Callithrix jacchus: one gene and its partners. The protein of the gene in region 7 purifies or fractionates together with the protein of the main gene of each other region. This does not show direct contact. Links are inferred from orthologs where the notes say so. Each region holds a gene or a part of one and is shown on either strand. Other genes may lie near its edges. The genes, in order: POLA1, RFC5, SMARCAL1, ZUP1, RFC1, TOP3A and RPA1.

Region 1 (3,500 bases), on a different chromosome or scaffold from region 7:
ATTTCTGCATCAATTCATATCAGTGCTAATAAAACAGTAGCTAAACTAAGTTTTAGTTCTAAAGTGATGGAGGCTATTTCAGAAACCTAATTGTGGGTGACCTTGATCATACTAGTATAGAAAAATGCAACACAATAATAAAGGCTCATAGGTTCAAGAAAATAAAAGGTTTAACTGGCATTTAACTTTGGGTAGGGCTAAGGTGCCAAAACACATTCCATGTATGGTCACCCATCAGAGAGGTCTAATGCTTCCCTCAGAGAATTTCATGTTTCACAAATTTTGTCTGCAAAGAGAAAAGTGGATAAGGAAATGACACAAATACAAGGGAATAAACTTGACACGGTTTCTACAGTACACAAGGGATTTGCTATTTTGAAAGCAGATGTCATCACAGAAAAAAAGGCTATCTAGGTAATAAAAAGTAAGGGATAAGAGGAAACAAAATACTACACAGCTTTGGACCCACCAGTTTTTGCTGAGGCTTTCGGAAAATCTGCTTGTCAGGCACAATATAGTTGTTTTCATAAAATGCATGAAGCAACAAGAACTCGTTACGCTCGGATCGTCCACCCATCAGTGTCCTGGACTATTAAATGGAATCTCTTTTTAAAATTTGAGCTCAAAACCACAACTAACAAAAGCAACTTTGAGTCAGTTAAGTTTAGTCACATCACCTCCTTCAAAACCATTCCTAACAACAGGCTGCTTTAAAAAAAAAAAAAAAAGTACTAAATTATTCCTAACATTTTCATTGAGCATTACAGTTAAAGGAGACAAAGAGAGCTTAAAATATTGACAACTTGGCTATTTACTCCCAAATGGACCATTCCACCAAACAGACACATCCAGATGTTAGAGAGATGATCCTTATGTTCGTCCAAATTTCAACACACTGCACCTGGCATTCCTCCCCTTCTCCCAACCAGTTCTTCCTTTACAAAAGAAGTCCAGCTCTCAGAATCCAAGTTACTCATTTTATAAGCATGCATTTAGACTCATTATCATATAACAACTACCCCAAGCAAACACTGAATCCAACAGGAAATGCTTTTTCCCCCTTTCTAAGTTAAATTTACCATAATGTTCCCAGCGATGTTAGTGATCTGCAATGCTAATGGAAGAACATTCAGCTCACACATGATCTGCAAAATGAAGTTGGCATCTTTCCAGGTGTGTTCCAACAGGTATAACAGTTGGGAAGAGTCACTGTACAGAAAAGTAAGAATGAAACAGAATCAAATAATTAAAAGAAACAATGCCCATAATCATAACTTCATAAACTATTACAAGGAATTTTGGGTGTAAGTAAATTCAGAGCAACAGCATCTTGGCTTCAGAAACAAATTAAGGTCAGTATGTAACTAGGAATTCATTCATACCATTGATCCCAAAGCCTTTCTCACACACACACACACACTCACACACACACACACACAATCCCATAAAGAAAAACTGAAGTAATATAATAACTACAAGCCTGAAAACTATCTAAATCCTTTCATTCATTCCATCCAGTGAGTATATATTGCATGCTTACTATGTGCCAGGAGTTGGCTGTGACCAAAACAAACAAAACTTCCTATCCTCCTGGAGCTTATGTCCTCATGGGGGAGACAGAGTATAAAAAAGAAAAAGAAATTATGTATATAGTATGTTACATAACTTTAAAAGTTAAGCAATGGGAATATTAAGTATCGGAAGCAGAGACCGAAATTTTTATTAGGAAACAGTGGAAGATTTCACTGAGAATAAACATCTGGAAGAGGTAAGGGAACAAGCCTTATGGAAAGAGCACTCCACGCAGACAGGACAGCACACTCAAAAGCCCTGAGCTGCATGCAAATCTGGCAGTTCCAGGACTAGGAAAGAGGCCATATGACTGGGTCAGAGAGAATAATGGAAAGAGTAGCAGGAGATAAGGACAGAGTTAATGGCATAGAGACACACTGTATGGAGCTTATAAGTAAAAACAAGAACTTCACTTCTTACTCTGAATGAAACAAAGAGTCACTGGAAGATTCTGGACACATCTGACTTGATTTTAGCATAACTCTGGTTCTGGATTGAGAACCGATTATAAAGGGGTAAGGGCAAAAGGAAGGGGACAGGCATATAAACCCAGTAATCCAGGGGAAAAAGGATAGTGGCTTGGACAGGATGGGTTCAACAGAATCGGAAAGAAGTGGTCAGACTTCGAGATATTTAGAAGATAAAACTGACAGGATTCCCTCATACATCTACTGTGGGATATGAGAGAGAGGAACCAAAGGTGCCACAGAGATTTTGGGCTAAGTAAAACTCTGAAGTGTCCAGTGATAACGGAAAAATACGCTTACTAATTTAGTAAGGAAAGACTACAGGAAGAACCTAGGATAGAAGATTAGAGCTCAGTTTTGAACAAGCTGGGAGTTCACATTAGGTATCAAGTAAAATAGGTAAGTAGATACATTGATTCTAGAATTTAGGGAGGTCTAACCTGAAGATACACAGGTGGGAGGCATAGGCATCCACATGATATTTAAATTCCTAAGACTCCCTATGATCACCCAGAGAGGAAGCAAAGTCAGAAAAGAAGTCAAAGGAAGGACTCAGAAAGAACTAGCAGGAACAAACGAATGAGAGATGACCAGAGGAGTAGGAGGAAGAAATAAGCAAGTGATACCTCTAAATAACTTAATGATTGCTCAGTTTTTACATTTCCAAAGTATCTACCCTAATTCCTGAATAAACGAATTAAGAGTAGAAATCTAAATCCAAACTACTGTTAGGAAACATTAAGAAAGTGTTAACACAGGTGAGGGAGATAGAGATAAACTGATCAATTACAGTAATTCAAGAGCTAAACTAGTTCAAATTATGAAAGCAGTGGAGATGGTAGCACTGACAAAGACAATTTCCCCTCTACAGCACCACTGGCTCATGCCTCTCCAGACTAAGAATAGTACTGGTGTTCTGCTATTGTTAATTTCAAGACAGATGAATTCTGAAGAATCTAGGATCATACCTGTACATATTTCGTATATTTTCCATTGGGATTATAGCCCTTTCCTTTTTTAGAATCTGCTGAACAAGTTCGGACAGATGGTAGCTTTTACAACGAATCAATTCCCTTGCTGAAATTTCCACATCACAGATCATTCGACCACAGGTAGCATTTCTTTCACCAAATCCACTCCGGCCCTATGAGATGGAAACAAAAAGCAAATTTCATGAAAGAGCAGACACTGACAACATTTCTTTCTAACCTATTTTAAAGCTGACCCAAAATTATGATAAAACTTTCATTCTCCCATTTATCAATCAAATATTTTTGAACATTTACTATATATCTGACATTATTCTAGGCACTCAGGATACAGCAGTGATCAAAACAGAAAAGACTCCTAGCCTCGTTTGAAATGTATAATAAAAAATAGATACCATAAACAAGAAATTATATCATTTTAGGAGGTAACAAGTATATGGAAAATGGGAAAATAGAGCAGGGTAGGGGCATA
Region 2 (4,158 bases), on a different chromosome or scaffold from region 7:
GTTATTACTTAGGAGAGACATCACCACCAAGAAATTTATACAGATCCTTCAACCAGGACAAGAGCAACGGACACATGGATACTTACTGGTACTCAGAATGTCCTGATGAGAAATGAGATCATTCAGGGTCTGTGGCCGGTATTTCTCAACCCTGAAATACAATTTAGCAGGTATTATGACATATAAATGCAAGAACATTTTATATGCAAAAGAATCCTTGGCTGGGCATGATGCCTCGCCTGTAATCTCAACACTCTGGGAGGCTGAGGCGGGTGGATCATGAGGTCAGGAGTTCAAGACTAGCCTGACCAACATGGTGAAACCCCGTCTCTACTAAAAATATAAAAATTAACCGGGCATGGTGGTGCACACCTGTAATCCCAGCCACTCAGAAGACTGAGGCAGGAGAATTGCTTGAACCCAGGAGGTGGAGGCTGCAGTGAGCTGATATCACGCCATTGCACTCCAGCCTGGGCCACAGAGTAAGACTCCATCTCAGGAAAAAAAAAAATCCTTGTAGGCCAGGCACAGTGGCTCACATCTGTAATCCCAGCACTTTGGGAGTCTGAGGCAGGTAGATCATTTGAGGTCAGGAGTTCAAGACCAGCCTGGCCAACATGGCAAAACCCTGTCTCTACAGCTACCTCCTAGGGGCTCTGTACGGATCAAACATCTAACAGGGCATCTGCTAACCTAATAATACGCCATTCAATAAAAAAATAAGAAAAAAAATACAAAAATTAGCCAGGTAAGGTGGCATGTCCCTGTAGTCCCAGCTACTCAGCACGCTAAGGTGGGAGAATCGCTTGAACCTGGGAGGCAGAGGTTACAGTGAACTGGGATCACACCACTGCACTCCATCCTAGTTGACAGGGTGAGTGAGACCCTGTCTCAAAAAAAAAAAGAAAGAGAGAGAAAGAATCCTTTCATATCCTAATTTAAAAAGGAAGAAAAAGCACTTTAAATTTGAACACAGACAGTGGTTCTCAACCAGGGTGATTTCGTCCTCCTAGGAACATCTAGTGAAACATATTTAGCTGTCACACGTGGGCAGAGGGTCCTAGGCACTTAGTGCATAGTCTCTAGGAATGTTAAACATGCCACAGTGCACAGGACAGCTCCCCCAGACCCACCCAGAGTATCTTGGCCCAAAATATCAATAGTGCTGAGGTTGAAAACTGTTCTTATCTCATCTTTCCAGCTGTTTGCCTATAATCTCAACCTGATGGGCACCTACTATTTCAAAGTGCATTTGAAACTGAACTCATACCCAAATAGCCTTCAACAGAAGAATGGATAGGTAAAATGTCTTCTGTCGATACAACGGACTATGATTCAGCCGTAACAAGAAATGCAGTACTGATACAAACAGCAACATGCATGAACCTTGAAAAACTGATGCCGAGTGAAAGAAACCAGACACAAAAGGCCACATCATGTAGGATTCCACTTACATCAATGTCCAGAATAGGCAAATCCATAGAGACAGAAAGATTAGTGGTTGCCAGGGGCTAGAGGAAGGGGAGAATGGGGAGTGACTGTCAAGGGTACAGGATTTGCATTTGGGATGATGAAATTTTGGAACTAGATAGTGGGAGGACTCCACAACAGTACACTGCATTCTGAATGTACTTAATGCCACTGAATTGTACACTTTAAAATGATTACGTGCTGGGCTTGGTAGCTCGCCTCTAAAAGTTCCAGTGCTCTGGAGGCTGAGGCAGGAGAATGGCTTGAACCCCAATGTTTGAGGTTAGACTGAACTGTGATCACACTACTGTGCTTCAGCCTGGGCAACAGAGCAAGACCCTGTCTCTAAAAAAATAAATACATAAAATAGTTACAACTGTCAACCTTATGGGATTTTTTTTTAAAAAACCACAATAAAAGCAAATTGAACTAGCTACTAGACAATGACAACTTGGAGCTTTCAAAACCAAGCCAAATTGCATCAAAGTCTTTAGAGCACTGCTAGGACATCGCTGTTGAAGTAGGATGGTTAACAGTACAAGCTCTGAATTCAGACTTCCTAGATTCACCTCCAAGCCTATTTTCTAGCCCTGGACCATAGGCAAGTCATTTAACCTTTCTAAGATGCAGTTTCCTCCTATGTAAAATTTGAAGCGGTGCCTACCTCCTAGGGTCTTTGTAAGGATCGAACATCTAACAGGGTGTCTGCTAATCTAGCAATACGCCATTCAATAAAAGTTGACCAGGGAGCGTTATTACTCGTTTAAAATGTGACCAATAGTCGCATCGCAGGTTTTGAAGAGTGGGAAGAGGACATTTTGGCATGGAGGCCAACGCAGGTGTCAGAGGACGCAGGATCGAATCCCTGTGCTGTCACCAGGTGCGAAAGCCGCTTTCTTCTTCGGCAAATGGAGCTGGGTGTGAAAGGGTAAGAGCTGGCAAAAGTCCTAAACAGAACGGACGAGTCTGGGGACCTGGGGGGCATCGGGGGAAACCTCTGCGGCTCGGCCCCGACTGCAGGCCCGGGAGCGGCGGGGCAAGATCGGGCTGGGGTCCGGTCACCTGCCCACCCCGGCCACCGCCTCCCCGCGCGGCCGCCCGGCCCCCTCTGCCCACCGCGGCCGCTTGGCCTCTTCCTACCAGGGCAGGTTCCTGATCTTGGCCGCCGCGGGTTGCTCCTGCTGCTTGAGCGCTGAGGTCTCCATGGCGGGGAGACGAAGGCGACCAGATCCGCTGAGATCGTCGCGTAACTCAAGCGCCTGCACAGCGACCAGCCGCGACCTGACCCTGAGACCCTTGCACTCAGAGTTCGCGCGCAAAAACAACTCTCGCGATAAGTGGCCATCGGTTTCCGACTTCCTCCCTGGGTCCCGCCTCCTAGTGTTGCCAGGGCGCCGGTTGCTAGGTTACCAGAGGGGCCAGCCGCCAGCTAGCTTCCAAGCTCCACCTCTCCAGCCTGCTCGGAGCTCTCAGATACCTAGGCGCTTCCAGAGCAGGGGATCGGGAGAGGCAGGGCGCCCTGTAGCCCTGGTCATTAGCACCTATTAAGATCTCACGGCCAAAGCCAATTCCTGCCATAGCCAAACTTCAAACACTTAACGTTCAAACGAACAAAAGCTTTCGGGGCTCAAAAAAAATATTTTTCTAAGTAAAAAACAGCACCCGAGTAACACGGCTGGATCTTGAATATACATGCCCTTGTGAAAAAGGCTCACAATACCTCTCGGCCCCAAAGCTGGGGGTGGGGTGAATATTTGGAAATGAAAACAACCCCAAACACACATAACTGCAACCTACCTCTCTCCGGAATCCGTGCCCCTCACCCAACAAAATTTAGAGAACCAACCACCGGAAAACTACTCCAGAGAAAAACAAACAGAAACTTCCAGTTGGGTTCATCTGTGTCGCTGGAAGGATCTGGTTCATGAACACAGAGGACAGGGTTTCTGCGATCTGAGATACTGAGGAGAATCGTAATCAACATTTTAGTTTTTTTTTTTTTTTTTTCTGAGTCGAAAAGATTCTGGATCATTTTCATTTTCTTCTTTTTTGTAGGTCCATCTTTCCTTTTCTTTCTTTTTTTTTGAATCTCACTCTGTCACCTCGGCTGGAGTGCACTGGCATAATTTTGGGTCACTGCAACCTCTGTCTCAAGGTTCAAGCGATTCTCTGCCTCAGCCTCCCAAGTAGCTGGGACTGCAGGCACGTGCCACTATGCCCAGCTAATTTTTGTATTTTTAGTAGAGATGGGATTCGCCATTTTGGACAGGCTGGTCTTAAACTCCAGATGTCAAGTGATCCACCTGCCTCAGCCTCCCAAAGTGCTGGGGTTACAGGCGTGAGCCCCCGTGCCTGGCCTGGTCTGTATTTTCCAGCAATGAGCATGCAAACCATCGATATTGAAGTCTCTCTCTTTTTTTTTAACGTGATGAGGAAGAGAAAAATCTTTGGAGGATTTTCGAGGCTGGCCTGGGGTCAGCAGTGTTTTGATTAGGAGGTAGCAGTACTCCTTGCATTGGATTACATTAATGTCACCTGCTTTAGGAACACAGCAGAGGGACAGTGGCAAGTATATGGTGGCAGTTATGGCTTCCCCCTATTCCCTGCCTGGAGACCCCAAAGAGGGGGTTCACCTAGGGCTTGTGATGTGACAGTGCCCCTACTCTCTGCTTTCTCCCAGGTCAACTT
Region 3 (4,130 bases), on a different chromosome or scaffold from region 7:
CCCGAGCTAGAATGGATGTAAGAAGTGTTCTGCCACGAGGTGGAGGCTTTTGCTCTGTTGGCCTCTAACTTAACATCCCTGGGAGGCTGTCCAGAACAAGCTGGTGTCTCTTGTGAACTCTTTGCTTTGGCCAAAGGCTCATGAGTTGGGTTAGCAAAGGGTATGGACCTGATCGAAGCCTGAGCATGACCTTGACCTAAATTGTAACCCAAGGGCTGTTGTTTAGAGACCTCTGGAGGACTTTTTGCCAAAGGAGGGGAGATTCCAGTGAGAGCCACTTGATGTGGTGGGCTGTGGCCTGGGCAGGCTGTGGTCATTTCTTCTGGTTTTTTCCATATTCCCTTCACCTGCTCTGGTATGCTAAGATGAAAACTGTGGGAATTATGAGGTTTTTGGTCATAATTAGATGAGCTACTGGGATTCTGTTGCTTGAAAATGACACCATGGCTCACTGGCTTACAAAACTCCCTTGGGAAATTTTGGGATGGGCCTTGTTTGGCCTGGGATGGGTTGCCAGCAATGGTGGTGCCCGAGCTAGTCTTCTGATGCTGTTCTGCCAATAACTTCTCAGCTCTACGGGCCAGAGCCTTTTGTCGATTCTCTTCAATCCTTTTCCTCTGCTCCTCTGTAAGAGGCAAGGACATTTTCCAGGAGAAATAGTTAAGCAGGAAAGTCAATCTTTAATTGGAAAGTTGGCAAAAGCTGTGGAAGAAAATAAGAAGACTGAAATGAACATTACATTTATTAGCTGCCATGCTCCAACCATGATTTTAACAAGCTTTTGTCCCAGAAACTACATAATGAGCACAACTAAAGGATATATTAAAGTTAATTTTATAATTGCACATACACAGAGATAGTAGGCAGCATATGCTAAAATAAAGATCCTGATCAAAAAGCAAAAAGCAGGCCGGGCATGGTGGCTCATGCCTGTAATCCCAGCACTTTGGGAAGCCAAGGCAGGCAAATCACTTGCGGTCAGGAGTTTGAGACCAGTCTGGTCAACATGGAGAAACCCCATCTCTACTAAAAATACAAAATTAGCCAGGCGTGGCGGTGCACATCTGTAATCCCAGGTACTTGAGAGGCTGAAGCAGGAGAATTGCTTGAACCTGGGAGGCAGAGATTGCAGTAAGCCAAGATTGTGCCACTGAACTCCAGCCTGGGCAACAACAGTGAAACTCCATCTCAAAAACAAACAGAAAAAGCAAACCCAAAGCTAAAAAGGCATTTCAGCTGCAATATTTCTCTCCTTCCCATGCCCCAGACAAGGTGAGTTATCAGAACCCAAGAAAGTTCCTTAGTGCACTTAAATCCATCAGATAATGAGAAGGGTGACATTTTTAACCAGAAAGCATAATAGATTAGACTGAAATAGACCAACCACTTACCATGGCGTGATACTTGCTAAAATAGCCTCTTTCCAACCTAGAAGAAGGAAAAAAGCATTAGCCTCCCATGGACTGCACACGAAATTCTCCCCTCACATTCACGCCTTTTATCCTTCCTGGCAGTCAGTCAGCCTGTGGCTCAGTGCAAGCCAGAGCAGCTGGCCTTGACACCTGATTTCCAAAACACAACACACGGAGCAACTGACTGACTCTCCGGGGAAAAAGAGGGGTGGAAAAAAGAAATATGTGTTCACTGTACAAATTAAGATGCTATATAAAGATGTGAACGAGCAAACAAAAAGAATAAAATTAATCCATACTCTCACCAGCCATCAATAACCACGGTTGAAATTAATAATTTAGAGTATACAGTTCCGATTTTTTTTTCTATCCATAACCACGTAATACATGGCACATATTTAGGAGACATAAGAATTTATTATAAAATAGGATCACTGTAAACATTCCATTTTGCACCCTGATTTTTTTCCCATGAATTTACCCATAACATTTATTTTCCTACTAACTGAGACATTTTTACAACAGTTTGTAAGCAGGGGGCGGGACACCAATTTCTCTGGCTTGGTTCAGATTAAATAGCCTGCATCTACTGTAACGCTGTGTAATGCTTAGAATGATGATGTAGGAGTACTTCAGTAGCACTGCCTAGGCCTCTGGGCAACTATAGGGTTCAAGGGTTTCCTTCCCTGCTGGGGCTCCCTTTGGCAGAACCCAACCCCCCACCCCACTCCTCCTCCCCGACCAAGAAGCATCTATCCTCAGAGAACTTCCACCTTCTCCAAATGTTAGCAGTTAGGAAGGGGTGAAGCGGTTAGGGAAACGTTTTGCAGGTGCACAGCGGAAGCCCTCAGTTTCTCTGGGTAACGCACTCCTGCCTAAGTTTCCAATCAGTTCCCTGCACCTCCAGACACTCCAGATCCCAGGCCTGGTGAGCTATCTCCACTAACCAGGGAGACGAGGCCATAAGACCCACTGATCATCCCCAAACCATAAAGCCATCCCGCCACATGGACGTCCCTCTTCCTCTCTAAGCAGGGACCTCTGCTCCCCAGAATTTCGGGGCGCGCCTCACCCAGCCTCAAGGTAAGCGGGTGCCACACCCCACTCCCACCCCTACGATATCCACTTGGATTCACCCTTCCCGTTGGCCCACTTCCTTCTCCAGGCTGGCATTGGTCTCGTCCGCCTCCGCCGCCTTCCTGCCAGTCTACCACTTTCTCACCCAAGGAGGCCTAGAACGCGAGCCGCATTCGCACCCGGCTCTGAGCCCAGGCGCGACTCCAGAGCCTTCCGAGTCGGGCTAGTCTTCCGGGTGGACGGTTAGGCCACGGGTATTCAAGAGCTACGAGTTCGCCCGCCTTATTGTAGCGGCCTGGCCTGAAGGGCTCGGTCACCGGTGAACTACACTTCCCAGCAGGCAATGCGGCCACAGTTTCGCGTCCAAAAGTGAGAGTGATGAGACGAGAACGCCAGCGGGGCTGCAGGGTCTTCTGGGTTTTGTAGTTCATGCCGGGAGCCTGGCGAGAAACGGGAGCTGCAACGTCAAGTGCGGGGCGAAAGTGGTGCACCCTGGAAATTGTAGTTCTCCAGAGGTTTAGCCAAACGCCAGGTCCTGAAAGCCTGGGACATTGAGGTTTCCAGACCTGTGGTCTCCTGTCTCCAGAGGGCATCTCAGACAGCCAGACTAACTTGGAGGCTCTTGATAAAAAGTATTCCCCCGAGGCATTCATTCCTGGTATTGCTATCCTTGCAATTTAAGCCTCAGTCGCTGCGCCCGTCTGCCATCGTCGTCATCATTGCAGTCATCAGTCATTGCGTTTAGCATAAATATGAGTTACGTCATTTAACCGCACTACAACCTATGGAACACATTCTTGTCCCCATTTTACAAGGGGGAAACTGAGACAGCCATTTGGTAATGTTTCTCAATGCTTTATTAAGCTAGCTTGTGAGTCTGATTCCATAGACCCACCTCTTGAGAGAAGGTTAGTCACGAGATTTTAAGAGTCACTTTAGAAAGGGCATGGTGGTTTATACCTGTAATCCCAGCACTTTGGGAGGCCGAGGTGGGCGGATCACGAGGTTAGGAGTTCGAGACTAGCCATGGCCAACATGATGAAACCCCATCTATACTAAAAATACAAAAATTAGCCGAGCATGGTGGTGGGCGCCTGTAATCCCAGCTACTCGGGAGGCTGAGGCAGGAGAATCGCTTGAAAAACTGGAAGGCGGAGGTTGCCGTGAGCCGAGATCGTACCACTGCATTCCAGCCTGGGCAACAAGAATGAAACTCCGTCTCAAAAAAAAAAAAAAGTCACTTTACTCCTGAGCACCAACAAATCAACACCCTTTTCTCTCCAGGGTCAATTCCACTGTTCCATATTAGTGATAAATATAATATTGCTCTATCATCAGTGTGCATATGAATGTTGCTATAATTCTATTTTCAAACATGGCCTATTTAAAAAACAAACAGATGTCTACTAAAGGATTTGGAAAAATGGACAAGACATGCTAAGAAAAAGGAAGCACTGCAATGTGTGTAGTTTGATTCATTTTTTTAAAAAAGAAATCCTTACCTCTAAATATATGTAAACACATAAAGATCTGGGAAGGAAACTTGAAAACTCACCAAACTGTTAAGGAGCAGAGTAGCATGGAATACACTTTTCAACTTTTTAATCTCTATTTTTCAGAATGTTTGAATTTTCTAAAATA
Region 4 (3,500 bases), on a different chromosome or scaffold from region 7:
CTTACTATACGTGTTAACATTATTCATCGCTTACCTGACATCAAAAATTAAATATTATAAAATTGAACATTTTTATGAAACTCTAAGTATAGAAAGTCATTAAAGTATCATTTCAAATAAAAATATGTTCATTCCAGAAATTAAAAAAATATAAAATCAAATGGTGTTTCCAACTTAATGAAACAGAATAAGGTGCTAAGGAATACAAAGTGGGCTAGGCACAGTGGTTCATGTCTGTAATCCCAACACTACGGGAGGCTGAGGGGAGCAAATTGCTTGAGCCTAGGAGTTCGATACCAGCCTGGGAACCATGGCAAAACCCTGTCTCTACAAAAAATACAAAAATCAGCCGGGTGTGGTGGCATGCGCCTGTAGTCCCAGCTACCCAGGAGGATCACTTGAGCCTAGGAGGTCAAGGCTACAGTGAGTCAAGATTGCATGCCACTGCACTCAGGCTTGGTCAACAGAGTGAGACCCCCGTCTCCAAAAAAAAAAAAAAAAAAAAAAAAGAAAGAAAGAATAAGAAAAAAGTGATAACACTGATTTTAAACTAAAAGTTTTAAACTTTTAAGTTCGTGTCATTCAGAGTTCACATATATTTAGATACTTACAACTTTCTCTACTGGAGAAAGAGCACCCTCTACTGCTACTATCTGGTATTGCTTATGTTTTAAATTTCCCATAGATTTCCGAAGTTGCTTGAGACTGCTAGCCTCTACGTCTTGCTTTAATAATTTCTGCATTTCTCGAGAAGGACATCCAGGATCAAGTATTAGTAAACATAATGTTCGGTTTCTTTTCTCTTCAATTCCGATAACAGTTCGACTGTGACCTGCCAAAAGATTTTTTTTTAAGTTATATATATGTCATATATATTTACAGCTATACAAATAGTATCTATATATATACTGTGAGCATATAATACAGTCAGACTCTCTGACACATATGTATCTGAGTTCTCCTAAGACATAAGAGTTTAGTGCTACTTCACTTTTCTTCATTTAACTTTAGTTTTCTAAAGGCTTCATTACAAAAAACTCTGCTTTTATTCTGCCATAGGTTTTACTTTTCCTTTCCCAATCCCTTGATCTCTCTTATTCAGATTATCTCAAACGAAAGAACACAAACTGTTCTAGAACAAAACTCTCATGATTCCAAAAGGTAAACAAAAATAAACCTATAAATACTAGAATATCAGTGGGGGGTGCTTAATCTCTTATAATTTGTATTCCTAAACAATGAAATTCTTAACATTATTCTGCTTATTCCTGTCAATTCAAACCATCCATTCATAATTTACCAAGAATCTATGTGCCAGGTACTACTCCATGTAGGAAGAAATATAACAGCAAACAAAACAGACAAATGTGCCTGTCTTCTTGGAACTTACATCCTAATAGAAGAGATACTCTATAAACAAGGTACATAAGTGAAGATAATGACAGTAATGGGATGTTGGGATGAGTTGTACTTTTTTTGAGACAGCCTCACTCTGCTGCCTAGGCTGGAGTGCAGTGGCAGAATCATGGCTCACTATGGCCCCCAACTTCAGGGCTCAAGTGACCTTCCCACCTCAGCCCCCTGAATATCTGGGACTACAGGCGTGTGCCACCACACCTGGCTAATTTTCTTGTTTCTGTAGAGGCAGATTCCCACTATGTCACTCAGGCTGGTCTCAAGCTCCTGGGCTTAAGCAATCCTGCTTCAGCCTCTGAAAGTGCTAGGATTACAGGCATGAGCCACCATGCCTGGCCTTGAGGTCCACTTTTAAATAAGGTAAGGTCAGGGCAGGCCTCACTTAAGTGACACGTAGGTAAAGACCCAAGAAGGCAAGAAATGAACAATGAAGGACAAGTGAACCAAACACAGAAAATAACAAGTGCAAAAGGTCCTGAAGATGTCAGGAATATCAATCTTAATTACTCAAGAAAGTATTGTAGAAATATCAATCTTAATTACTTAAGAAAGTATTGTACTGTCAAAGTAGCTCTGAAAATCAGATTAATGTCATATTACTCCTTGGTATTATCAGACCAGCCTGACCAACACAGTGAAATCCTGTTTCGACTAAAAATACAAAAGTTAGCTGGGTGTGATGGCATGCCCCTATAGTCCCAGCTACTTAGGAGCCAGGAGAATCGCTTGAACCTGGAAGGTGGAGGTTGCATGGAGCCAAGATTGTGCCACTGCACTCCAGCCTGAGCAACAGAATGAGATTCTGTCACACACACAAAAAAACGTTAACCTGTCCAAAAGCAACAATTTGGTTTTGTTTGTTTGTTTGTCTGTTTTTGAGATTGAGTCTAGCTCTGTTCCAGGCTGGAGTACAGTGGCACAGTCTTGGCTCACTCCAACTTCCTCCTCCAGGGTTCAAGCGATTCTCCTGCCTTGCATCCTGAGTAGCTGGGACTACAGGCATATACCAGCATGCCCAGCTAATTTTTGTATTTTTAGAAGAGATGGGGTTTCACCATGTAGGTCAGGATGGTCTTGATCTCTTGACCTCATGATCCACCTGCTTTGGCTCCCCAAAGTGCTGGGATAACAGGTGTGAGCCACCACGCCTGGCCAACAATTTGTTATCTTATAAATAACATTGTCAGGCATGAGTTATATTAATACCAACCTTGATGCTGAAGATAGATGGGAGGTTTAGATGTACACACTACCTTTGAACTCACTTCCCCCTCTGAAGAATAATAGTTTAATATCCATTCAAATAAGCAAGGGTGTGTACCCAAAGGACCAGTTGACTTGTGAAAATCAACAATATGACACCTATTAAAAATTGACAGAATATATAATTAAAGGCCATTTAAAAATATTTTCAATAGTTATCAAATATAACAAATTATTAGGTTAGAACCAACTTTTTCTAGCCATTACTTCCCTGTAAAGGAAGAAAGAAAAATAAATATAAATTTTTACTGCTTATTTAAAAAAATTATCATTTTTTGTGGGGGTTAACTATTTAACAATTCTCCCTATTTAACCATTTCACTATTCTTCTAACTAGTTAACTATTTAAATAATTTCATAATAAGTCTGCTGACTAACCTTAAGGTTACAAACATTTTCTGATATATAAAATCTCTATGAATAGTAAATAGTGACCATACCTGATTTTTTAAAAGTCATCTACATATAATCTGGGACATAGCTTTTATTCTAGTTTCTAACCCTGATGATCAGTTAGAAGCTGATTTCTGATTTGAATTCCTCAACAGCCATTTGTATATATCAAATAAATCTTAAATACTTTTCCTGTCAGCATCTCAAATCTCTATAACAGAAAATACCTGTAAAGATCATAGAAAAATGTGTGTGTACCCACATCTATACATCTATCTCCTATTTGACACCAGACCACCGTGGTATTTTTCCTTCAAGAAGGAGTCACCCTTCAATAAACAATTTTTTAACCAGAAACACTGTTTATACTACTCAGCTACTGTTTTTAAAAGGTCAGGTACAACTAAAAGCATTTCATAGCTTTATCA
Region 5 (3,500 bases), on a different chromosome or scaffold from region 7:
ACAGGCACAATCCCTCAGAGTAGCAGGTTGGCACAGGAATTACTACTTTCATAGACTGCTTTACCTTTCCTCCCCTGGGAAGGGGCAATGCCGCTAGGGCCTAAGACCAGCTCTTCATACCTTCTCCCACATGTAATACATATAACAGACATTTCCCTCACCTTTTTCCCTGCTGATGGAACTCCAATGTGTCCTCCAAGTGATTAATTATGACTGGTCTAAGGCAACCAGAAACGTCTTGGTTCTTCCCAACCTCCCATATAGCTCTGAGTGGCCAGGTGACAGCTCTGGCCAATGAGACGTGAAATTCTGTAAGAGGTATTTCTGGGAAAACTCTTGTCAGGCCAGTCACAGCTCTTATGTATGACAGCTTGCTGCTGTTCCCCTTTCCTGCCTTGAATGAGAACTTAAATGGCTAGAGCTGCTAGAGCTGCAGCTACCTTGCAACCACAAGGCAACATTCATGAGGACAAAAGCTAACACAATAAAGATGACAGAGATAAAGGAACCACATCATTGAGCTGCTGAACTATCCCAGCAATACCTCCAGCATTCTTGTAAGGAAAGTAAGCAGCTGTTTGCTTAAGCCACAGTTAATCAGGTATTCTGTTACTTAGAGCTTAAACAGAATCCTACCTGATAGGCAGCTGATTCTTTCCCTAAGAGCACTAATTTTAAAAAAACCTAAGATGGTGTATACAGTGGCATTTCTTCGGACTGGAAGAAAAAGAAAACTGCATTTGTTTCTATCTTCAAAAATAAAAAAAGATTTAAACTAAATACACTAAGAAAAAATCAAGTAAACAAGAACTGTGCCTTCCAATGGAAAACCAAAATCCTGGCATCGAAGCCAGTAACACTTCTGTGGAGAAGAAATAATGTGGGCAAGAAATTACTTTTCTATTTCTTTCCTTCATTTAACTCTGAGTAAAGGGCAAATCACATCAAGAGCATGCCAAGGCAAGCAGGAGGTGTCATGGTGTTGAGAACACAGCAGTACCCACCTTGTCACTCTTGGACTGTCCACTATCACGACCCATGACAAGGTAGTTTGTTTTCTTGCTGACATTTCCTGTTACTTTCCCCCCATAACGTTCAATTAGAGACTTGGCCTCATCTCTTTCAATAGACTCCAGCACGCCTGTGATTACAAACGTAAGGCCTTCCAAGCAATTTTCAGCTCCCTAAAAACCAAATGTTCAAGCAGAGAGGAAATTACACAGTAGCTTTCCAAAGAAACATTTGGCATCAAAACTGCAGGAAGTTGATTTTTTTTTCACTTGACATCATAAATAACCTTGGCATGGAAAGTTTGCTGGAAATTTACAGCAAATAAGTACCACCTGAAATCTGATCCTAAGAAATTTTGATATGGCTAACATTTTATAAACCTACAAAACAAGCAGTGAAAAACATACATCCAATACTGTTAGCAAAGCTATTAAAATTACCCATTCATACTATTTTCCATTATGCCCTCTTCATATCTAAAGTACTAGTTAACTTGCATAACTGTAAATAAACAACGAAATGCAATCCATCTGTAGAAACTCTTGCTATTCAGGAAACTGCTTATTCTTGAGAACTTTCCCAACAAGAATTTAATAGAAGCAGGTAAACGTCTATCATTTTGATGTTTCTGTTAATGTTTCCAAACAATGTACTTTAAAGTCACAATCACTTCTTATCATTTTCATATATTTCTGATGCTTTTCATTACATTAGTGATCAGAAATGAGGTATAATTCCCCAATCCCTGCCCACAAGAGCTAAGTAAGATCTTAACTGTAAGTTGAAGGGAGTTTTCCCCGAACTCATGGATTGTACAAGAATGAAGCCCTGTTGGGTTAGATGGTCTGCTGACGGACTGTTGTGTGGCATATCTAAAGGCTATCGAATGCAACTTGTAATGCTTAATAAAAATCTATACTGTTTTAGGGGAAAAAACGGAAGAAAAAACGCAACTATTGCTATTATTAAAAAGGGAAAGTTTTGATTCTAAAAAGCTAAGCAAGTGCGAGCTCCTGCCCTCCTCTTGCTCATTACTCTGGTAGTAAATCTAACAACCGGCAAGTAACTTAAAGGCAAGATCATATTATCTCTGGATTGGAACGGTAACTCTCACAATGTATAATATAATATAAGAGATACTTGCCAAAGACAGCTGGATGGAAAAAGACATTAAATCTTAATTGGAACTGTGTATAGCTATAGATTTTTACAATGGCTCAATAAAATTATACCACCAAACAAAATAAATAAAAATTATACATGACATTCCAAGTTACTTATTACTCTTTTAATAGAGAATTGAGATTAACAAACTTAAATCAGGCTTGAAAAGAAGCAGCCAACCAAAATTCAAAGAAGGCACCCATGTAAATTCAATCCTGCACCATTCAGGTGAAGAATCTTTCTTAGACAAAAAGAAATAGCAATGAATGTGCTTGGAAAGAAAAGGTCTGACTAACAACATCTCAGGTCCTTTGAAGTGCTTATGGTTCATGGATGGAAATGACCTACTGTAACACTACAGGAACTAAACTACTTCTGAACAAACTCAAAACAACCTTGGAAAAGTTGCACATGCAAGCAAGCCCCTTATCCCATATCCCAAATACCTATTATCTCCCAAATTATCACCCACGATGGCGCTAATTATCTTTTTTACTTATCTTAGCACTTCTAGCCTCCCTTCCAAACTCTTCTATTCTAGAACTCGTCTAAGCTCTTACTCCAGGAGCAGCCAACTACCCAATATCCTCAACCTCTTCTCCAACATTCCCTCCACAGCCTTTCTTCACTGAAACCTGGCTGTCCCCTCAGGGCACCACTTTGCCTGAAGTCCTCTCAGGCAGAACTTGGTCTCTCATACCCATGTACAGGAGGCAAGACTGGCATCTTCCTGCAGCCTCTCGTAAAACCCATTAGCCCCTTAAGGCTGACTGTCCCGCTCCCCACCCCAGTCCCAACTATACCATCCTCTCCCTCTCTTTATTAAGGGAACTATTAATCTCCATATGTAGTTATGTATACCAAGCAAACTGAAAATTAAATTTATACATACATTGTATACATATATATCCCCTCCCCTCCAGCCTTCTCAGAAATCTCATACTACAATTGATTCTTCTTCTTTTGTAGGTAAACTTTAATCTCTCCCTTTCTAGTAGGACCTATCCCATTAGCAAAAAGCATGCTTCTCTTATGGTATCTCCTACCATAAACAAAACATCTCCCCCTAAATCCCACTTTCCATTCTAGCTAGAAGCCATCTCCCCTTGGTCACTATGCTCCAACTACATCATTTTTCTTTCAGTTCCTCAAACATACCATGCAAGAACCTTCTCCCTTCAGGAACATCACACATTCTGGCCCCTCTGCCCAGACCACCACACCATCACAACCCCTTCATACCTGCCAAATCCCTTCAAGTCTCCATGTAAATGCCACATTCCACATCCCCCACCCAGAACCAAGTTCCTCTGTTATATTATCTA
Region 6 (3,500 bases), about 16 Mb from region 7:
TGTCATTCATGTCATTATTATTATTTTGCTTTGGAAAACAGGTATTTTATCACCCTAAAAACCATGTTATTTACAGTAGTATGCAATGCATTTACTAGAAATAGATTAATATTTTAAAAGATGTTTTTACTTTAATTTCACATGTGGTATATACTGATAAACCACCCAGAACAAAAGCTCTCTTGGCTCCTCAGTGATCCTTCAGAGTGTTACGGGTCCAGTGACCAAGAGGTTTGAGAACCACTGTACTGCACTAGGGCTGTGGGCTTTCTGGAGGAACTTAAATAATATATTTCTTTGCCCATGGCCCACTCCAAACTGGGTCATACCCGCCAAAGCAGTGACAGCATGGAACACAACAGAACCGGACCAGGCCTGCTGACCTGACTGCTGCAGAACACAGCTACACCCCTGCAGAGCCTGAGTGTAATCCCTTACACTCCCCTCTGGGTTCTGGCAGGAGCAAGGGAAAAATGGGCACCGTGGTGTGCACACTCCAGAGGAGGTGCCTGACTCAGGCGCCCAGCTCACCTGTACACAGGGTGTGGCTGACAAACTGGACACACACTGCCATCCCTGCTGGCCTCCAGCACCGAGTCAGGAAACCATATGGCTGAGCGACACTCTGGGAAACCCGTGCAGCTGAGGTAGAGCCTGGGGACAAGGTGCCATGTCAGGTGGTAGCAGTGCAGGAGGCACTCTCAGGCTCTCAGCCGTTGGCCATCGGCCGAGACAGCCTTTCCTCAGATGACTGAGGACAACATTCCCTTTTCTGGAGGACAGTTAACTGGAGATACAAGCACTGATATTTAATTGATTGAGAAAAATGAGCCTTCTCACAACCCGAAAGCACAAAGCAGCTATTGCTGACCCTGCTTTCTACTTAGAAAACCAACAACCAACCAAGGTGACGCCAGGGGCCCTGTGCTGTGCACTCACACATTCTTGCCTTTCTGCCTCGTGCCAAGTCTGTGCAGTGTCAGGGGCCCCCTCAGTTTGCATGTGAGTAAGTGGTGGCTTGGTGTGGGCTGGAAACCTGCCCAGAGATGTGCATGCATGGGGGTATGGGAGCTAGAAATGGAAACCCATCTGTTTGTGACAGAGCCTCACCTGCAACATCTACACCCCACCCACTGCCCATCCACCCCATCCCTGTCTCTCCTGGCCCATGTTTTTCAACACCTTGCAGCCATGAAACATTAGGGTTTGACTAGCCAATGTGCATTTGATTTACCAATTCCTTTGAGTATGCCTGGGTACACTACAAAGAAAAAAAACCCCCAAACTTCAATCATTTAAATAAGAAATTTACAATCTCAGAAATGGAAATTATCAGATAAACCCTGGAGTGGCAAATCCCATAAAATAATCTGACCTTCTGGAGTAACTCAAAGAAGCATTACAAGAGAATAACAGAATAACAAAATAACAAAAGAATAACAAAGAAATAATAGTAATTCTCCAATACAGTGCTAAAACAAAAGTAAGTATTCTCTCTCCTTATATTCCAGTGAGTACTAATCCAAAAACCTGCTGGTGGCAAGGAAAACCCATCAACAGCATTTATTAAGTGCTTAAATACATGCCCAGGTATTGGGCTAGGCCTAGAGTGGGTCTGGCTTCTGTCTGTGAGTGACAAGAGCCCTGACACCTGCTTCCAGGTCTGGTCCAAAGACCGCTTGTTTCTGAGAGCTGGTGGCTTTCTCTTCACTGGGGCCAGCTGGGTTACTGATGGCTGGAGGTTAGGAGGAGTGGAGAAACCTTTCTCATTTAGCAGCAAGGAGCACAGCAGCCCCAGGTGGGCCAGGCAGGATGGAGAAAGGCAGTCAAAACCTGGTTTCAAACTATGCCTTTGCTGCCCACTGTGAAACGGGCTGCTTGACTTCAAGCAGGAACCTCTACCCTCTAAGCTGCATAGAAATCCCTGCCTTGCAGGGTGATTACAAGAATGGGATGAGGTTAAAAAAAAAAAAAAAAAAAAAAGAGAATGGGATGAGATGTTTACAGAGCACCACCAGGCATCATGCCAGTAAGGAATGGCAGCTGATGAATGATGGCTGCCACCCCTCCAGCACACCTTTCCCCGTGAACTTCCTCAGTGGCCAGCCACCGGCTTGAACAACCTGATCTGAGGCTAAATTTCCCATTCAGGTCAACTATACTTAAAGCAAAAGGGAGTTAAGATTTTCAGGCCCAATTCAGAACTTTTCTTAGAGAAGAAAAGTAGAATCTGCTGAGTAACTACAACACGTCAGGCAATGCGGTATACAGTCCTGACCATTTTCACCAAATCCTTATCCTTAACACAGCCTTGTGAGTACTGACCTTATTTTATGAAAAAAGAAATTGGGGCTCAGAGCAGGTTAGGAACTTGCTTCAGGCCACACCACTTATATGTGGCAGAAGTGGCATTTGAACCCAGACCCACCTAGATCTGAAGCCCATGCTCCTCCATGTGTTACACATTAGGTATATGATGTCCTATCTACAGGGGACAAAAAAAACCCCATAATCACTCAGTTCCCCACCTGCTCTAAATTCCAACAATGCTTTACACCTCAAAGGCCTGATCCCACCCAGGTATCCTTCTAGGCCAACACCTTGCCTGCAGGTTGGCAACCACAGGCCTGTCCTGAAAGATTCCATGTAAGTGAGATGGCAGGGCCTTTTAGAGCTGTGGCTGACACCGCAGGTGCTGGAGAGCAGAGGTGAAGGCAGAAGGCAGAGCACTGACCCGCCGTTCTTCTTGGTTTTGAGGACCATGTCCTTGTTGCACTGTGGGCACTTCCTGATAGGCTCTGGCATGGCTGGGTAGATGTCTTCTTGCTGGGCCACCTCTGTCCCATTCCCAAAGTACTGGGCCAAGGCCTCGTCCAATCTGAAGAGAAGGCAAAGGTAGACACCCATCAGCCTGCAATTGCTGCAAAGGCACCTACAACACTCTTATGTACACACAACAGGCGTGACCGTGGGAACCAGCTGGTCAGTGAGCTGCAGGCCTCCTGCAGAGAACAGACGGCAGGCAGAGAAGACTGAGCTCATCATGGGCCCTGGTGCCTAACCAACTCCGAGGAGGAGAGTCCAGATACAGGCAGATGCTTCTGCCTTGTCACCAGCCCCACATTAAAAAATAAAATTGGGCTGGGTGCGGTGGCTCATGCCTGTACTCCCAGCACTTTGGGAGGCTGAGGCCAGCAGATCACCTGAGGTTGGAAGTTGGAGACAAGCCTGACCAAAATGGAGAAACCCCATCTCTACTAAAAATACAAAATTTAGCCGGGCATGGTGGGGAATGCCTGTTCCCAGCTACTTGGGAGGCTGTGGCAGAATTGCTTGAACCTGGGAGGCAGAGGTTGAGATGAGCCAAGATCATGCCATTGTGCTCTAGCCTGGGCAACAAGAGCGAAACTCCATCTCAAAAAAGAAAAATAAAACTGCACAGGGTCCATGCACAAACTCTAGGCATATCTGTCTGCATTAAGTTTAAACTAGCTTGGCGG
Region 7 (3,500 bases):
ACCCTATGCTGCAGACAGCCGCCTTCTCCTGTCAGGTAAGCGTCTAAATCCCCCACAGGGCACAGCAAAGGCCGTACGTCTGTTTCACCACCAGCAGCTACACCAGTTTATGGTTTCAAAGACTCCAAGGAACATGCACTCATCAGGAGTCAACAGAGCATGGAGACAGGCCACCCCCATCAAAATCCTGCATGGTCACAGCCAAGATCTAAACACCTCTAATCCCCGTCCAGGTAAAGTATGCACACTGAGCAGCCCTTTGATCAGTGCCAGGTTATTTGATTCTGGGGACAGCCGTGCTCCTTATGTTGACTGGGATCATGATTATTGACAAGTAAAATATGAAGACCTTCATGTGGGAATGCAGTTAACCTGGGGCCGAGTTCCACAGCCCAAAAGGAAATCAAGCAGTAAGACCAAAGCAATCTGCGGCTATTTCTGGTCAGACTGGGCCCTGCTTTCTACAATGCCAGCTATCACAACAGCTCAGTAGAGATGTATGGACTGTGCTCACGAGGGTGGCTTACGTGACATGAACATTCCACAACATGCTTCATGAAACTGGTCAAACACCAGTGCCACTGGTTCACATGACTCAAAGCAGAGGAGGAGTATGTAAAATGAACTCATTCTGTAGCTGCTTAAATCCTAAGACACAGCTGGAAACCGACACGCTAGCCCCGTGACTAGAGCTACAGGAGTTATTTCAGCTGGGCTAGTGAAAGCGCCTGCCTGACCACATCAATCCTTGCATACTGTGTTTCAGTTTCAAGTACTCTTTTAAGACCGAGTTTTAATGTCCTAAAAGGCTAGAGACAGTGAGGAGATTTTAACAGCCTCTTCTCATCCCCTGAGTGCTATGGGAATAACAATCTAATCCTAACAAAAAGCCTGTTGTTCTCACCACACTTTATCAGAGTCCAGTGAATACACACTGGAAGATGAGATCAGCACCAAACACTCGACAGAAAAAGAAAGCACATGCTCCCCCCACGCCACAGAGGCCTGGAGTGTGAACCCTGGAAAGAAAGACGCCTCAGCACCTGCCACGCGCTCGTTGGCAGGACCGAGGTTAGCAGGCAGCACCACATTCTAATCGCCTCCTGGGACTCTCTGGTTCGTGATGTGATTCCAGGTTTGTCAGCTCAAGGGTTTTAAAGCCATCTTCTCAGAAGGTAAAACGCCTCCAAGAAACGAATGCACCACTCACTTCCCTAACAAAGACTTCTGCTTGGCAGAGGCTCACACATGGTAACCAGCTCTCCTCAAACCCAGTCTCAAACAGCCCTTTGTTTCACCTCACGAAACCTACCATCCACGAAGCTTATAGGCCTCTGGGATGTCAGGATTCACGATGATGGTGCTGGAAGACAACACAGAGAGGCTCCGTCCACCGAAATCTGAGACTCTGGCTCCTTTGATAGCCAGCACAGGCTGTCTGGAACCATCAAATTTATCAGCCTGTAAAACAAACACCAGACATACACACGTGTCACTCGCAGGAAGAACACAGAAGGTTTTTATAGAAAACAAGGCAAACAGTCAATAGTGAGTGAATGTAATCAATGTACATAGAATCTACACAAGACAGACTTCACACATAACGATCTTCTCAAAGACACATCAAACTAGCACTACTTTCCCAGAGTTAGGGGGAGGAGCATTTGCCTCCGTAAAGCTTGAATCACAGCAAATCTCACAGAAGATAAAGGATTTCAAATATTTGCCAGACAGCACGGCCCTTCCCATCTACACGGCCAAAGCCCCCAACTCATAGGACAAGACCACCTGCTCCCCCAGGAGCTCCTCCCGTGCGCGCTGACAGCTCCGCCCTCACTTACATCTTCCCCCCACAGTGTAGCAGTCACCACCTTCCCCGACGTGTCCATCAAGTAGATATTCCTCTTAGCAACCTCTCTGTTGTTAGACCTCACTGTGATTTTCGTGGCATCTTCATAGCTCTTGCAGATCCCAATTATGTCTGAAACACACCCACAACGTGTTAGCAGGAGACCGTCAGGGCTCCAGCTGAAGGGGATGGGAGGGTGAATGGCAGGCACTGGGGTCTGACACCGCCCCGGACACTGCACAGGAGCACCATCCCCCACGCTGCACAGGAACACCACTCCGGACACTACACAGAAGCACTGCCCTGGACACTGCACAGGAGCATCGCCCCCCACGCTGCACAGGAGCACCGACTCGGACACTGCACAGGAATACCACTCCCCACGCTGCACAGGAATACCGCCCTGGACACTGCACAGAATACCACTCATCACTGCTGTTCCTTCCCATACACCAACTTACCGACAAGTGAGTCTTTAGACTTGCTCTCTAGGTTATCAATCCCTGTGAAATCAAACTGAACGGTAGGCAAGTGATGATCATCTTCACAGGGCATGACGGAAGTCTCATTATTGAAGGTCATCTCATAGTCATTTTTAACAGCTGTGAATTGTTTGTTAGCAATCTTCAGGGTGCCCTTTGAGAAATAATACACCTGCAAAGGAGGCCAAGCCACAGAACTTCAGACTGTCATCAAATTGGACAAGAAACCCTGGTCTGCCACCACACAACCCTCCACTGGACCACAGTCCTCTCATCCTCAGTGAGTGTCGGCCCCAAAGCCGACACTACTATACCTTGTTCACTTCAATGAGGGGAAAGAACTTGTCCACTTGCTCATTGAAAGCCGTAGCTCTGATTTCAGCCTGTGGAAGCACGTGAGAGCAGTTAGGACTGTGGGATTCAACTTCAAGCCTGACCAGTGAAACATAGGCCACCTCAGCATCAAAATGGCATCTTCAGAGCAGTGAGACACAAAGGGGACCCAGAGAGGGCTCCAGACATCCCAGAAACCCGCATTTTATAGTCACACATTCAAGTCATTAGCCTGCTGAAAAAAGAATTTCAATTGCTGGTCCCATAGTCATGCTGCATTAACCTCAAGTGAGACACTGAGAACTGAACGAAAGGGTAGTGTCGAGTGGAGTATTCTGACGATAAAAACCAAACCACGCTGACCACTGAGTGACACAACTGGAGCCCACAGCAGGCTGCTGCTGGGATGACTCCCGCTTCCCCCAGTGCCTTCTCAGTGACAATCACTCCATGCTCGGGAGCCACTGCCACAAATGTCACAGTAAGTCATGTTTTCAAGTTGCCTGTGATCTGATTTTCACTTTTGCTTTTCTTTCAGCCAAAATGCTATAGGTGGACAAGAAACTTAAATGATTGAAACTGTAGCCAACCTTTAGAGCAGTAATGTGTTTAAAAAAAAGGTTCTAATATTGATTCTGCCACCACACAGTCAAACATTTTGGGTGTTATACCATCCTTCCTCCCACCCCCAAAAAATCTATTTTTTTCTCTGCCTTTGGGAGTTTGAACAAACAGGAAATATGTGGCAGTTTGATTTAGACATCATTATATTATTATTTCTATTTTTTTTGAGATGGAGTCTTGCTCTGTTGCCCAGGCTGGAGTGCAGTCATGCA

What was found.
Region 1: the proteins of RPA1 (region 7) and POLA1 purify together in Homo sapiens (affinity purification with mass spectrometry; 3 studies listed by BioGRID and IntAct, with this or other methods). This does not show direct contact. The link is inferred for Callithrix jacchus from reciprocal best matches to the Homo sapiens genes RPA1 and POLA1.
Region 2: the proteins of RPA1 (region 7) and RFC5 purify together in Homo sapiens (affinity purification with mass spectrometry; 3 studies listed by BioGRID and IntAct, with this or other methods). This does not show direct contact. The link is inferred for Callithrix jacchus from reciprocal best matches to the Homo sapiens genes RPA1 and RFC5.
Region 3: the proteins of RPA1 (region 7) and SMARCAL1 purify together in Homo sapiens (affinity purification with mass spectrometry; 8 studies listed by BioGRID and IntAct, with this or other methods). This does not show direct contact. The link is inferred for Callithrix jacchus from reciprocal best matches to the Homo sapiens genes RPA1 and SMARCAL1.
Region 4: the proteins of RPA1 (region 7) and ZUP1 purify together in Homo sapiens (affinity purification with western blotting; 4 studies listed by BioGRID, with this or other methods). This does not show direct contact. The link is inferred for Callithrix jacchus from reciprocal best matches to the Homo sapiens genes RPA1 and ZUP1.
Region 5: the proteins of RPA1 (region 7) and RFC1 purify together in Homo sapiens (affinity purification with mass spectrometry; 3 studies listed by BioGRID, with this or other methods). This does not show direct contact. The link is inferred for Callithrix jacchus from reciprocal best matches to the Homo sapiens genes RPA1 and RFC1.
Region 6: the proteins of RPA1 (region 7) and TOP3A purify together in Homo sapiens (affinity purification with mass spectrometry; 4 studies listed by BioGRID and IntAct, with this or other methods). This does not show direct contact. The link is inferred for Callithrix jacchus from reciprocal best matches to the Homo sapiens genes RPA1 and TOP3A.

What each region holds. Positions count from the first base shown.
Region 1 is NC_133524.1:25,473,045-25,476,544, reverse strand, and holds part of POLA1 (DNA polymerase alpha catalytic subunit), read right to left. Parts: intron 3,184-3,500; coding exon 3,008-3,183; intron 1,210-3,007; coding exon 1,080-1,209; intron 590-1,079; coding exon 470-589; intron 1-469. UniProt on the Homo sapiens protein: Catalytic subunit of the DNA polymerase alpha complex (also known as the alpha DNA polymerase-primase complex) which plays an essential role in the initiation of DNA synthesis.
Region 2 is NC_133510.1:121,071,573-121,075,730, reverse strand, and holds the start of RFC5 (replication factor C subunit 5), read right to left. Parts: upstream 2,801-4,158; 5' UTR 2,676-2,800; coding exon 2,611-2,675; intron 2,399-2,610; exon of another isoform or gene 2,268-2,398; intron 152-2,267; coding exon 87-151; intron 1-86. UniProt on the Homo sapiens protein: Subunit of the replication factor C (RFC) complex which acts during elongation of primed DNA templates by DNA polymerases delta and epsilon, and is necessary for ATP-dependent loading of proliferating cell nuclear antigen (PCNA) onto primed DNA.
Region 3 is NC_133507.1:138,226,522-138,230,651, reverse strand, and holds the start of SMARCAL1 (SWI/SNF-related matrix-associated actin-dependent regulator of chromatin subfamily A-like protein 1), read right to left. Parts: upstream 2,801-4,130; 5' UTR 2,549-2,800; intron 1,429-2,548; 5' UTR 1,392-1,428; intron 703-1,391; 5' UTR 645-702; coding exon 1-644. UniProt on the Homo sapiens protein: ATP-dependent annealing helicase that binds selectively to fork DNA relative to ssDNA or dsDNA and catalyzes the rewinding of the stably unwound DNA. Rewinds single-stranded DNA bubbles that are stably bound by replication protein A (RPA).
Region 4 is NC_133505.1:122,970,699-122,974,198, forward strand, and holds part of ZUP1 (zinc finger-containing ubiquitin peptidase 1), read right to left. Parts: intron 2,779-3,500; coding exon 2,627-2,778; intron 833-2,626; coding exon 612-832; intron 1-611. UniProt on the Homo sapiens protein: Deubiquitinase with endodeubiquitinase activity that specifically interacts with and cleaves 'Lys-63'-linked long polyubiquitin chains. Shows only weak activity against 'Lys-11' and 'Lys-48'-linked chains.
Region 5 is NC_133504.1:154,486,842-154,490,341, reverse strand, and holds part of RFC1 (replication factor C subunit 1), read right to left. Parts: intron 1,185-3,500; coding exon 1,005-1,184; intron 1-1,004. UniProt on the Homo sapiens protein: Subunit of the replication factor C (RFC) complex which acts during elongation of primed DNA templates by DNA polymerases delta and epsilon, and is necessary for ATP-dependent loading of proliferating cell nuclear antigen (PCNA) onto primed DNA.
Region 6 is NC_133506.1:82,709,073-82,712,572, forward strand, and holds part of TOP3A (DNA topoisomerase 3-alpha), read right to left. Parts: intron 2,879-3,500; coding exon 2,735-2,878; intron 655-2,734; coding exon 532-654; intron 1-531. UniProt on the Homo sapiens protein: Releases the supercoiling and torsional tension of DNA introduced during the DNA replication and transcription by transiently cleaving and rejoining one strand of the DNA duplex.
Region 7 is NC_133506.1:66,377,743-66,381,242, forward strand, and holds part of RPA1 (replication protein A 70 kDa DNA-binding subunit), read right to left. Parts: intron 2,715-3,500; coding exon 2,646-2,714; intron 2,504-2,645; coding exon 2,311-2,503; intron 1,982-2,310; coding exon 1,842-1,981; intron 1,462-1,841; coding exon 1,313-1,461; intron 1-1,312. UniProt on the Homo sapiens protein: As part of the heterotrimeric replication protein A complex (RPA/RP-A), binds and stabilizes single-stranded DNA intermediates that form during DNA replication or upon DNA stress.